Saccharomyces cerevisiae S288C: one gene and its partners. The protein of the gene in region 1 purifies or fractionates together with the protein of each later gene. This does not show direct contact. Each region holds a gene or a part of one and is shown in the gene's direction. Other genes may lie near its edges.

Region 1 (3,222 bases):
AGTCTTTGGATTAATCCTTGGATGATTATTGGTGCCCAGCTTTTGCAAACGGTTTTTATACCAGTCGATCAAAGTTTTGTCCACGGGGAACAAACCAGAAAGAGCCCCCCACTCGGTGGTCATGTTAGCAATAGTGAGTCTGTGATCGATAGGCAATGCATTCAAAGAGTCACCCGTGAATTCAATGGCGTGATTTAGAACTTGATCATTGTTGAAAAGCCCACATAATGCGACAATGATATCTTTTCCGGAAACACCCTGAGGCAATTGACCTTTCAACTCAACCTGAGCCACTGGTGGGATCTGCCACCACGTCTGTCCCGTGGCCCATATGGCTGCAGCGTCTGTTCTCACTATTGGAGTGCCCAGCGACCCCAGACCACCGTAGGTGTTTGAATGCGAGTCAGATGCGACAGTCATGTTCAAGGGGAAAGCATAGCCCTCCTCAATCATAATTTGATGACCAATACCTCTACCGGCAGGGTAGTGGTCTATATGGTGTTTCTTAGCAAAATTTTCGATGTTCTTGTACTTGGTCAAATTTTTCTCTGATTTGTTCTGAATATCGTGGTCCAGAGTGGTCACAATCTGTGAAGGATTCTTGATCTTGGTAGCGCCAAGCCCCATGAATTTCAAAGCTACAGGCCACGAATTATCGTGGGACATACAGTGTGCCGGCTTGATCGATACATAGTCACCAGAATGCACAACTTTACCCTCGGGAAGGTTGACCGCATACGACTGAACAATTTTTTCAGTTAGGTTCTGACCTTTCAACCAGGCCCTAGAACTGTGGAACGAACGAGTAAATGTGGTTGATCGTAGCATCTTGAAGCGATACAATTTTGTTTCCTTGCAAGTTCTATTTTATTGAAAAAGTGATATTGTCTACTATAAGAGGCAGCGCAAAACTAGCTATTGCACACACAAACACACGAGGATTCTTTTGTATATATAAATACCTATGGGGATATATATATATATATATATATGTGCGTGTCTGTACGTGTGTGTGGACATGAGATTGTGTATACCTGTGTATGTTGGTGATATTTGCTGCCTCTGGTATAGACTCATCGATTACAAAATTTCAGTCATCTCGAGCAAAATCCCGGGGGAAAAAACAATAAAAATTTTTTTTTTCCAAATCGCTCCATTCTGCTCACTTGACACGAAATTGTTTATCACTTGATACGTGTACATTTTACCGGGTTTGCGGTAATTTCGCACGAACAAGCAGTGAAAAAAGTCATAGGAAAATTTTTCACCGTAGCAGCCAACGCAGTTGCGTTTTTTCCAGTTTTTCCAACACCAGAGGACAGCTTTGGCTATTCTTTTCGGTGTTTGGTGCTGTTGTATCGCTGGCTTGTGGTATCTTCTGTTTCCTATTTAAAGTTGGTCAGTGCCCCCTTTCCAGTGGGCTTCTCCCCTGTGTGGGCTGTTTCTCTTCTATGGCACTTCAACTTCGCATTTTTCAAATTTTTATTCAACAATTCCCTTTTCTTGATCTCTTTCTTTTCAACTCTCAAGCCAAATATTTAATTGTTTCTTCCTACCCGCAAGCGTATATATATATAATATATATTCACACACGCAAATATGTCCGCCTCAGCTCAACATAGCCAAGCCCAACAACAACAACAACAAAAAAGCTGTAATTGCGATTTGCTATTATGGAGGAACCCTGTTCAAACCGGTAAATATTTCGGTGGGTCTCTGTTAGCCTTGTTAATTTTGAAAAAAGTTAACTTGATCACTTTCTTTTTGAAGGTTGCCTACACTATCTTATTCACAACAGGATCTATTGAATTCGTATCCAAGCTCTTTTTGGGACAAGGTTTAATCACCAAGTATGGTCCTAAAGAATGTCCAAATATCGCCGGCTTTATTAAGCCTCATATCGATGAAGCTTTGAAACAGCTACCAGTCTTCCAAGCCCACATAAGAAAGACTGTATTCGCTCAAGTCCCTAAGCACACTTTCAAGACCGCTGTTGCCTTATTTCTACTACACAAATTCTTCTCCTGGTTCTCTATCTGGACCATCGTCTTTGTTGCTGACATTTTTACCTTCACTTTGCCAGTTATCTACCATTCCTACAAGCATGAAATTGATGCTACTGTCGCTCAAGGTGTAGAAATTTCTAAGCAAAAGACCCAAGAGTTTTCTCAAATGGCTTGCGAAAAGACAAAACCATACTTGGACAAGGTTGAATCTAAATTGGGCCCAATTTCCAACTTGGTCAAATCTAAGACTGCTCCTGTGTCTTCTACTGCCGGTCCTCAAACCGCCAGCACTTCTAAGTTGGCCGCTGATGTTCCATTGGAACCAGAGTCTAAGGCTTACACATCTTCAGCTCAAGTTATGCCAGAAGTTCCACAACACGAACCTTCCACTACCCAAGAATTTAACGTCGATGAATTGTCTAATGAATTGAAGAAAAGTACAAAAAACTTGCAAAATGAATTGGAAAAAAACAACGCTTGAGTGCTTTTTTTTTTTCATTTCAAACAAGAATAGCTAACTTTTGTCTCTTTATTTACCACTACATATTACATTAGCCTATATATACTCATACGTTTCTCTCTCTTTACTTTCTGTACCCCCGAGGAAAAATACATAAATTATTTTTGAACTTTCCCTGCTTTTTTACCAACATTGCTACAGTTTAACCATTGCAGTTAAAAGTGCTCATCGTGTTAGTTAAATAAATAAATAATTAAGAGAAATAATAATAAAGTATCATACATAAATAAGAATAAAAAAAAAAAATGAAAAAAAAAAACTGTTAATTTTTTTTTTTACTGATTTACAAATTCCTTGTACCTCTATCTCAGCCCATGCATATATTGGTTGTTTTACTGCTTGATACCACTAGAAACCTCTAGTTGTTTAACGATGGGGTCTCTAACATTAGGGTTCAAGTCGTCATTAGTTAAAGATAGTTGGCTTGATGTCCATAAGTTAGACTCTTCCACAAATCCGCTCTCTCCAACACCCAATAAGCCACCTTGGCTTTCCCAGTCTCTGACACGTGGTAACTGTAGCTCATTGAACACATCATCAACTGCATTGATTAAGATGTCAGATAAATCGTTGGTGTGACCTGGCGTTGGGGTAATTCTCAATCTTTCGGTACCGCGAGCAACCGTAGGGAAGTTGATAGCTTGTACGTAGATTTGATGCTTATTGATTAAGATGTCAGAAGCTTGCTTAGCCAAA
Region 2 (3,786 bases), on another chromosome or scaffold:
AGCCTTGAATCATCCCTGGATCAAGATGAGTCCATTGGGCTCACAATCATATGGTGATTTTTCACAAATATCCTTATCACAATCGTTGTCGCAGCAGAAATTATTAGAAAATATGGACGATGCTCAATACGAATTTGTCAAAGCGCAAAGGAAATTACAAATGGAGCAACAACTTCAAGAACAGGATCAGGAAGACCAAGATGGAAAAATTCAAGGATTTAAAATACCCGCACACGCCCCTATTCGATATACACAGCCCAAAAGCATTGAAGCAGAAACTAGAGAACAAAAACTTTTACATTCCAATAATACTGAGAATGTCAAGAGCTCAAAGAAAAAGGGTAATGGTAGGTTTTTAACTTTAAAACCATTGCCTGACAGCATTATTCAAGAAAGCCTGGAGATTCAGCAAGGTGTGAATCCATTTTTCATTGGTAGATCCGAGGATTGCAATTGTAAAATTGAAGACAATAGGTTGTCTCGAGTTCATTGCTTCATTTTCAAAAAGAGGCATGCTGTAGGCAAAAGCATGTATGAATCTCCGGCACAAGGTTTAGATGATATTTGGTATTGCCACACCGGAACTAACGTGAGCTATTTAAATAATAACCGCATGATACAGGGTACGAAATTCCTTTTACAAGACGGAGATGAAATCAAGATCATTTGGGATAAAAACAATAAATTTGTCATTGGCTTTAAAGTGGAAATTAACGATACTACAGGTCTGTTTAACGAGGGATTAGGTATGTTACAAGAACAAAGAGTAGTACTTAAGCAAACAGCCGAAGAAAAAGATTTGGTGAAAAAGTTAACCCAGATGATGGCAGCTCAACGTGCAAATCAACCCTCGGCTTCTTCTTCATCAATGTCGGCTAAGAAGCCGCCAGTTAGCGATACAAATAATAACGGCAATAATTCGGTACTAAACGACTTGGTAGAGTCACCGATTAATGCGAATACGGGGAACATTTTGAAGAGAATACATTCGGTAAGTTTATCGCAATCACAAATTGATCCTAGTAAGAAGGTTAAAAGGGCAAAATTGGACCAAACCTCAAAAGGCCCCGAGAATTTGCAATTTTCGTAACCAAGGACAAATACCCATAGAAAATGCTGCCCCTTTTTAAGAGAGAAGATGGTAGATACCAATACTCAGAATTCATCTATTCATAACTTTTTGGGTTTTTATTACATATAGAGTGACGTTTTGATACGATTTACATTTTGAAATATATAGATTTTTGTATATTAATAAGTTTTGATTTTCAGTTTTAGTTATGCTTAATGAATTTTTGAATCAGAAAAAGAAGTTCTGAAAAAAACATAATCCTGCTTGATGTGGTACAACAAGCTCATAAATAATTTTAAAAAGTTTGTTAATCCGTTTTCAATATCTTGAGCTCCTCAATTGTATTTGCTGAGGTCTGATTATTTCTATAACCAAAAGCGGTTATTGAATCTATGGAGAGGCTGTAACCCGTCTTATGCCTTCCGGGTACTATATTTCATTTGCGGGTGTCGATGGATTAAGGGGCGGAGGCGGCCCTTTTTAGGATTTATATAAAAAGCCATACTTCCGTACTTCGTAACCTCTTATCAACTGGTTAAGGGAACAGAGTAAAGAAGTTTGGGTAATTCGCTGCTATTTATTCATTCCACCTTCTTCTTTTTTGAGCGAAGCCTTTATAATCAAATTTTAGTGGTCTTTTCTATTTTTATTTGAGAAGCCTACCACGTAAGGGAAGAATAACAAAAAGTATATCTCACCCTACTGTATTCATAAAAAGTTTTTTCTATTAGAATTCTATAAGAAAAGAAAAAAAAAAAGCCTAGTGACCTAGTATTTAATCCAAATAAAATTCAAACAAAAACCAAAACTAACATGTTCAGCTTGAAAGCATTATTGCCATTGGCCTTGTTGTTGGTCAGCGCCAACCAAGTTGCTGCAAAAGTCCACAAGGCTAAAATTTATAAACACGAGTTGTCCGATGAGATGAAAGAAGTCACTTTCGAGCAACATTTAGCTCATTTAGGCCAAAAGTACTTGACTCAATTTGAGAAAGCTAACCCCGAAGTTGTTTTTTCTAGGGAGCATCCTTTCTTCACTGAAGGTGGTCACGATGTTCCATTGACAAATTACTTGAACGCACAATATTACACTGACATTACTTTGGGTACTCCACCTCAAAACTTCAAGGTTATTTTGGATACTGGTTCTTCAAACCTTTGGGTTCCAAGTAACGAATGTGGTTCCTTGGCTTGTTTCCTACATTCTAAATACGATCATGAAGCTTCATCAAGCTACAAAGCTAATGGTACTGAATTTGCCATTCAATATGGTACTGGTTCTTTGGAAGGTTACATTTCTCAAGACACTTTGTCCATCGGGGATTTGACCATTCCAAAACAAGACTTCGCTGAGGCTACCAGCGAGCCGGGCTTAACATTTGCATTTGGCAAGTTCGATGGTATTTTGGGTTTGGGTTACGATACCATTTCTGTTGATAAGGTGGTCCCTCCATTTTACAACGCCATTCAACAAGATTTGTTGGACGAAAAGAGATTTGCCTTTTATTTGGGAGACACTTCAAAGGATACTGAAAATGGCGGTGAAGCCACCTTTGGTGGTATTGACGAGTCTAAGTTCAAGGGCGATATCACTTGGTTACCTGTTCGTCGTAAGGCTTACTGGGAAGTCAAGTTTGAAGGTATCGGTTTAGGCGACGAGTACGCCGAATTGGAGAGCCATGGTGCCGCCATCGATACTGGTACTTCTTTGATTACCTTGCCATCAGGATTAGCTGAAATGATTAATGCTGAAATTGGGGCCAAGAAGGGTTGGACCGGTCAATATACTCTAGACTGTAACACCAGAGACAATCTACCTGATCTAATTTTCAACTTCAATGGCTACAACTTCACTATTGGGCCATACGATTACACGCTTGAAGTTTCAGGCTCCTGTATCTCTGCAATTACACCAATGGATTTCCCAGAACCTGTTGGCCCACTGGCCATCGTTGGTGATGCCTTCTTGCGTAAATACTATTCTATTTACGATTTGGGCAACAATGCGGTTGGTTTGGCCAAAGCAATTTGAGCTAAACTTTTCTTACTTCTCCGCCCTATCCTTTTCTGCCATCTAGAGAGCTTTTATAAGTAGATAACAATAAAAAAAACTATAGTATATTTAAAAAAAAAAAACAAGACAAACCATCTTGTCCTCAGTTTTAGAATCCATTGTTCTATGCTGCTGCCCATAATGTCATTATATGCGGGTAGCCCGATGATGCGGCTCGAGAATTTCCTTGTTTATCCTTTTCCAATAGCGGAACAATTGATAATAAAGCAATGTAAGCAGAAGCGAAAAATAAAAAGAAATAGGCTGCAGAGATTCACAGGCTGCGCTCTAGAAACATTTGAAATCAAGGCAAACATAGAACACTTGATAAAATTCTTACCATAATACCACCATTGATGATTCAAAAAATGAGCCCAAGCTTAAGGAGGCCATCAACGAGGTCTAGTTCTGGTTCAAGTAATATCCCACAATCGCCCTCTGTACGATCAACTTCATCGTTTTCTAATCTGACAAGAAACTCCATACGGAGCACCTCTAATTCGGGTTCTCAGTCGATTTCTGCATCTTCCACTAGAAGTAACTCCCCACTAAGATCCGTATCAGCCAAATCCGATCCCTTCCTTCACCCAGGTAGGATAAGGATCAGGCGGAGCGACAGTATTAACAACAACTCGAGAAAAAACGATACATATACTGGGTCA
Region 3 (3,318 bases), on another chromosome or scaffold:
TGATATGATAGACAATGATACCTCACTGAAAACGAGGCTCAATGACTTTATTCGTGTTCCTGTGTTCTTTGCATATTTCAGCAATCGCTGAAATTTTTATAATACGTATGAAGCAAAAGCCCGACTCCGAAAGCTGTTGTGTGTAAATAGATTGAACGCGTTGGGAATGTAAAACGCGATTAAGAATTTCTGATTTAACGCAGGTGCTAGGTTATTAATAGTTTCTTACGCGGATATGTAGGTTCAAGGGTCTATGTACGTATGGAGGAATAGCAAAAAAAGAATGAGTATACTCTTGCTTATTTAGTTTAGCTTCAAAGCTGCGGTCAGGCAGGTGATCATGATTATTAGCCCCCAGATAAACAAGAGAAGACCTGTGTATTTGAAAATCTTTGTCGTCAATGGCACGGCTGTCTTGTGCTCAGTTCCTATAAGCTTGTAGCCAAAGAGCCCGGGCAGAATGAAAGAAATAGAAGTGGAGCCTGTGGCCCCAACAATGGCCAGTACACGGGCCAAGGAGGAAACCGAAATGGCGACAAGATATGATGCAACTAAAATGCTGCACGTTATAACAATAAAGCTCTTGCCTCTCAATGGAGTCTCCTTAGGCTGATAAATAGATTCTTCTTCAATTACCTCATTGAGGTCAAGGCTACTGTCGCGAATCAACGGAGAACTTTCGGTAGCAACAGTGGGTTCATCCGCCGATGTAGCACTTATACTTACATTTTCCTCGGCGAAGTGTTGCAAAATCTGATGGATTGAAGCTCTTGCAGGATGACACTGTAGTGGGAACGCCAGCATCACCAACAACACAATCGCTATTCTGCCGATGGTGCTCGAGACCGCTTGCGGGTACAGCATGATAATGTTTCCAATGATGTTGTCGCCGAATGTCAGGTATCCAGCACAGCCGATCGCAATATATAAGATGAGAGCCAAAGATATTGCTATCAGTGGAATCTTCATCACATGCTCGAACCGGCTTGACCTCTGCTCATTGATTATTGAAAACATATTGTGGTGACATGTGTAGGCAAAGACAAAAATTGGAAGAGTGTTTAGCACGTTCAAATCATGCGATTGTGGTGGCAGGAGGTAGGAGATCCGGCCTTTCAAGCGAAGAATCTCATCTGATGGTGCTACATAGTGCAACAACACCAAAACACACAAGTACGCTACAGAAGAGATGGCCACCATGGAAGCGTACCTCAACGAATTCAACTTCTTCAGAAAAGACAGCGGGGCCACGAAAAAAAGCATGATCAGTGAAATTTGCACGTTCCTGTTCAACAGCCAAGCATTTCTGGTCCACACAGACATTATTTGGGGCATCAGATCCCCAACTACAATCATATAAGAGACGCCCACACCAAAACACTTGATAGCGATCGCTAGGTCAAACACAATACCTAGATTTGGGTTAATCAACCGCGTCAGAGCACTGAACGAGGCCCTCCCCTGTGGTACGTATTTAGCTACACGAGCTTGTATGAACAAGCTTTGCATAGCGCACGCCCCACACAGCACTATCATTATCACTCCAGGAATTAATCCAAACGGCTTGAATGCGTACGGCATGGCCAGGATACCAGCACCGCACGCCGTGTGTAAAAGTGTCAGCACACCTGATCTAATACTAGCTACCATATGATGCACGATTCCTTTCTATGGTTATTGAGCTGTGAAACTAACCCGTCGTTCGACCATTGTTGTTCTATATACTTCTAGTTGCTGTATAGATAAGCTCTCCGATCCCCTAAACGTGCGTGGTGATCTTACTCTTTCGCCCTCGCTTTTTTTTTTTCGCTTGTTGTTTTCGCAAGGTGAATAGAATGGTTTTAGTAGCAAAGTGCATTGTTTATTGTGTGGTGTGGTTTGACGCACATTCTGTGTTAATAGTGTAGCAGAAGGGTATTCTACAATCTCCGCGAACCTAAGTATGTCTGCTGTTGAAATTTCCCCTGACGTGTTGGTGTATAAGTCTCCATTAACGGAGCAATCGACAGAATACGCTAGTATTTCCAACAATTCAGACCAAACCATTGCATTTAAGGTCAAGACCACAGCCCCAAAGTTTTACTGCGTGAGACCAAACGCCGCAGTTGTTGCTCCAGGTGAAACAATCCAGGTTCAAGTTATCTTCCTGGGTTTGACTGAAGAGCCTGCCGCAGACTTTAAGTGCCGTGACAAGTTCCTGGTTATCACGTTGCCTTCTCCTTACGACCTCAATGGCAAGGCTGTTGCAGATGTTTGGTCCGACTTGGAGGCTGAGTTCAAGCAACAGGCTATCTCTAAAAAGATAAAAGTCAAATATTTGATAAGTCCAGATGTACACCCAGCACAGAACCAAAATATACAGGAAAACAAGGAAACTGTTGAACCAGTAGTCCAAGACAGTGAGCCAAAGGAAGTGCCTGCTGTGGTAAACGAAAAGGAGGTCCCTGCTGAACCGGAAACTCAACCTCCCGTCCAAGTAAAGAAAGAAGAGGTCCCACCTGTCGTTCAGAAAACCGTTCCTCATGAAAATGAGAAGCAAACGTCCAACAGCACTCCGGCCCCACAGAACCAGATAAAGGAAGCCGCAACCGTACCTGCAGAAAATGAATCATCCAGCATGGGTATATTCATATTGGTTGCACTCCTTATCTTGGTTTTAGGATGGTTCTACAGATAATAGGGAGATTGAGGATATAGCTGTATTCTAAATATATATTTATATATGTGTGTGTTTTGCCCTTTCCTTCCTTTCAGTCTTTATTTTACTTTGTTTTTCTACAATCTTTTTTTATTGTTTCCTTCTGTAGCCTTTACAATACTAGAACAAGGAACTAAAAGATCATACTTTCCTAACTTTTTTATATGTTTTATTTTTTAAATAGGAGAATAATCGATAACTATACCACTGTTGTAACATATTACTTGTTTAATTTATTCATGTTCGGTTTCCCTAGTGTAGTAGGCGCTATCTTGGGCAAATAACTATCCGTTATTAACCATAACAATGCGGGGTCTACTAAATGAGGGGAGGGTCTTGGATGCACATTAACGAAGATCTTGCGAGGGGGTCGCGCCTAAAAGGTCCATAAATAAATGAATACATAAACAGCCACCTACTTTCAGTTTGTTTTTTGCTAGGTCTCATAGTGAACGAGGGACTCACATATTGACAATATAGTAACATGGGCTTATCGCGCTGGCACGACAAGAATTCAAGGCCAGCAGAGGAAAAGAGCGAAGAAATGCAACAGGATGCGCACTACTACGCCCTTGCGGCAAGTGATAGTTTAAATGCAAGTGTTTCTAACGAATATGGTA
Region 4 (3,414 bases), on another chromosome or scaffold:
GTGGCTCGTATTGCGTTATTCCTCACGCCTTGATTTGAATCTTCGTCTCACGTGGTTTCTCAGCGTCTTTCACACGCTTCTGACCAAATTTATCTTACCGAACTATACGTAGCTATGTGTTGCTTTCTGCTGAAAGAACTCGATAATAGAATATTATTCTCAAAATACTTCAAAGTTTATTCTCATCGTTTCCAAAAACGCGTCACGCATCACCCGGCGCAGTATTTCTTCTTCCTTTTCCGCCATAAAAAGTCATAATAATAAGCCTATCTCAAGATTCTTATACTACTTTTAACAGTTTTATTGATAACTTACTTACGTTAGACCATCTTTTTTGTGCAAACCTTTGGTAAAAAAAAAGAACTGCGCTACCTTCTCCTAGTTTATGTATGGTACGGCAACTCATAGTTAGTTTTCTGTGCCCGTTTTAAGCACGACTTGAACTTACGTGATTATATGTATACAGTGCATGTTTTTATATAGAAAAATAAAAAAATGGGGTTACGTAGTCGAAGGATATAGCAGTGTCTAAAAACTTGCAAGAGCACTCGTAGCTCCCCGGCAGTGGAATCTTACCACTTCTCAGAGAATGTCGGAACGATATGTTACTGCACTGAAGTTTCGCGTTTTTTCCAATTTTGTATTATTTCATTCTACTCAATTTTGAGGTAACATCGGCGATGAGGTCTCCTTCTAGAAGTAACAGAATATGAAACTAAGGGCAGAAGACGTGTTGGCAAACGGAACTAGCAGACATAAAGTTCAAATTGATATGGAAAGACAGGTTCAAATTGCAAAAGATTTACTCGCACAGAAAAAGTTCTTAGAAGCTGCTAAACGCTGCCAACAAACTTTGGACTCTCTCCCAAAAGATGGTTTGTTGCCTGATCCTGAACTGTTTACTATATTCGCACAAGCTGTATACAACATGGAAGTACAGAATTCTGGTAATCTGTTTGGGGACGCTCTTCTGGCAGGTGACGATGGATCTGGGTCTGAGTCTGAGTCTGAGCCTGAGTCTGATGTGAGCAATGGAGAAGAGGGGAACGAGAACGGTCAAACAGAAATTCCTAATTCTAGGATGTTCCAATTCGACCAAGAAGAGGAAGACTTGACTGGTGATGTCGACAGTGGTGATAGTGAGGACAGTGGCGAAGGTAGCGAAGAAGAGGAAGAAAACGTGGAGAAAGAGGAAGAACGCTTAGCTTTGCACGAATTGGCTAACTTCAGTCCAGCGAATGAACATGACGATGAAATTGAAGACGTATCGCAACTTCGCAAGTCTGGTTTCCACATTTACTTTGAAAATGATCTGTATGAGAATGCTTTGGACCTACTGGCGCAGGCCTTGATGCTGTTGGGCCGCCCTACAGCAGATGGCCAATCTCTAACCGAGAACAGCAGATTGCGCATCGGTGATGTGTATATCCTGATGGGTGACATCGAAAGGGAGGCGGAGATGTTCAGTAGAGCCATTCATCATTACTTGAAGGCGCTTGGCTATTACAAGACCTTGAAACCCGCAGAACAAGTAACTGAGAAGGTGATACAAGCAGAATTTTTGGTGTGTGATGCTTTAAGGTGGGTTGATCAGGTGCCGGCTAAGGACAAACTAAAAAGATTCAAGCATGCCAAGGCTCTGCTTGAAAAACACATGACTACAAGACCCAAGGACAGCGAGTTACAGCAGGCAAGGCTCGCACAGATTCAAGACGATATTGATGAGGTGCAAGAAAATCAGCAGCACGGCTCCAAGAGGCCTCTTTCGCAGCCCACGACCTCCATCGGCTTCCCCGCCCTCGAAAAGCCCCTTGGTGACTTCAATGATCTCTCTCAACTGGTCAAGAAGAAGCCTAGAAGGCATTGATAGTTTTGTGTAAAATGTAGCAACCTACATACGTAATGTATATTTCTCCTTCTTTGGTACGGCGAAAGGGCCCCATTTTAAAAGGGTGAAAAAATATTTAAAGAGCAAGCAGACCATCCCTGAAATGACATACTTACTACATCTAAAAAAAGTCATTTTTCTCTATTCATAAGGAGCAAGAAACACTAGCCAAGAATAGTCAGTATAATGTCATCAAGACCCGCTAATAACCAAGGCCCCCCAAACCTCCCTGCCAGAGATAAGTCGCTCGTGCAAAGGTTCATGGCAGTAGCCAAGAGCTTGCAGTTTGCATGGTTTACCGGTCATTCCGTCGTATTGATCAGCTCCATTCTTTACCTGCTCAAGATGTCAGAATTTTATTACAGATCGGCATATCTCGGTGTCATCGAATCTTTCGGTATCATCATTTACCAGCAATTTTTCACCCGCAATGAACCATTGCAGACTCAAGATGCCGCTGCCACTAAGGCTTCCATAAAATCACGCGTTGCTGGACTCCTAAAGAGTGAAGACGTGCTTTATTTGGTTTTGGCCAACTTCTGGTTGTTCACTCCAAGATTTTCATTCAGCTTAATCCCATTTTTCGCGTTTGCTGTATTCCATGTTTTAATCTACGTTGAAAAAGTTCTCTTACCAAAAGTCTTCCACCTTTCCAGTAAAGATTCAAGTAAGATCCTCAGCTTCATCGACAAGTTTGTTGTTCAGTACAATGACTTGTGCATGCACTGGGTCGGTACTGCTGAGCTGCTTATTTTCATTTTGGTCCTTTTCAGAGCCATTCTGTGCTTCCAAAGGTCTTGGATCATACTTGTTGTGTACGCCATCTTTATTAAGTTAAGATACGAAAACTCCAAGTACATGAAAGCCGCCTTTGCTCAATGGAGAGTTAGAATGGACGGGATCATAAGCCACCCATCTATCCCACCATTCGTCAAAAGAGCTTATAATGCAATTAAAATGAGCTTGATCCGCTTGTCTGAGTACCGCTTAAGCGGTGCCCCACAAGTGACCAAGAAGCAGAATTGAGTTTTATTATTACTTTTTACAAGTTCAATACCTTCTAATTACTTTGTATAACATTCCACTCCTCTCTTTTGCTTTTTGTTACAATTTGTTATATATTTTTTATCAATTTTATATCTTTATTCCTTGAATTGAGTTACTCAACCAACCCTTTTACGGTCTCACAGTGGTGAATTGACTGCATGGCACTGCATTCTTACTCTCTCTTGGGCCCTTATTCGTAGTATTTCCGAAGCTTTTTTTTCCGAGAAGTTCTTCCGATTCACTTTCTCGAAGTTTTTTTCTAGAACATTCCATCGAAGATTTCGAAAAAAAAAGCTTCGAGGTTTTGACGAAATTTCATTCTTAAGCACTATGGGAAGGTGTGGACGAATTGTTATATATAAGCCGCAATTGGGCTGGGTTTTCTCCAAAAAATGTTGAAAATATAATACTCTCTTATTTAAGTTACTTCTATTCTTCAATTGATTAATTCCAACAGATCAAGCAGATTTTATACAGAA

The links.
Region 2: the proteins of RTN1 (region 1) and PEP4 purify together in Saccharomyces cerevisiae (affinity purification with mass spectrometry; 5 studies listed by BioGRID, with this or other methods). This does not show direct contact.
Region 3: the proteins of RTN1 (region 1) and SCS2 purify together in Saccharomyces cerevisiae (affinity purification with mass spectrometry; 2 studies listed by BioGRID). This does not show direct contact.
Region 4: the proteins of RTN1 (region 1) and POM33 purify together in Saccharomyces cerevisiae (affinity purification with western blotting; 2 studies listed by BioGRID, with this or other methods). This does not show direct contact.

What each region holds. Positions count from the first base shown.
Region 1 is NC_001136.10:928,735-931,956, reverse strand, and holds RTN1 (Rtn1p), read left to right. Parts: upstream 1-1,599; coding exon 1,600-2,487; downstream 2,488-3,222. Other genes in the region: homoaconitate hydratase LYS4, read right to left, coding at 1-828; HEM1 (5-aminolevulinate synthase), read right to left, coding at 2,859-3,222.
Region 2 is NC_001148.4:259,031-262,816, reverse strand, and holds PEP4 (proteinase A), read left to right. Parts: upstream 1-1,885; coding exon 1,886-3,103; downstream 3,104-3,786. Other genes in the region: serine/threonine/tyrosine protein kinase RAD53, read left to right, coding at 1-1,090; KIP2 (Kip2p), read left to right, coding at 3,481-3,786. UniProt on the Saccharomyces cerevisiae protein: Aspartyl protease implicated in the post-translational regulation of S.cerevisiae vacuolar proteinases. Acts on YSCB, on YSCY and on itself.
Region 3 is NC_001137.3:399,193-402,510, forward strand, and holds SCS2 (phosphatidylinositol-binding protein SCS2), read left to right. Parts: upstream 1-1,942; coding exon 1,943-2,677; downstream 2,678-3,318. Other genes in the region: AVT6 (aspartate/glutamate transporter), read right to left, coding at 304-1,650; YER121W (uncharacterized protein), read left to right, coding at 3,183-3,318. UniProt on the Saccharomyces cerevisiae protein: Acts as an endoplasmic reticulum (ER) membrane anchor for cytoplasmic proteins via binding to the FFAT motif of targeted proteins. Regulates phospholipid biosynthesis by modulating the subcellular localization of the transcriptional repressor OPI1.
Region 4 is NC_001144.5:97,497-100,910, reverse strand, and holds POM33 (nucleoporin POM33), read left to right. Parts: upstream 1-2,074; coding exon 2,075-2,914; downstream 2,915-3,414. Other genes in the region: HIF1 (Hif1p), read left to right, coding at 710-1,867. UniProt on the Saccharomyces cerevisiae protein: Contributes to proper distribution and/or efficient assembly of nuclear pores. Required for normal pore density in the daughter nucleus during telophase.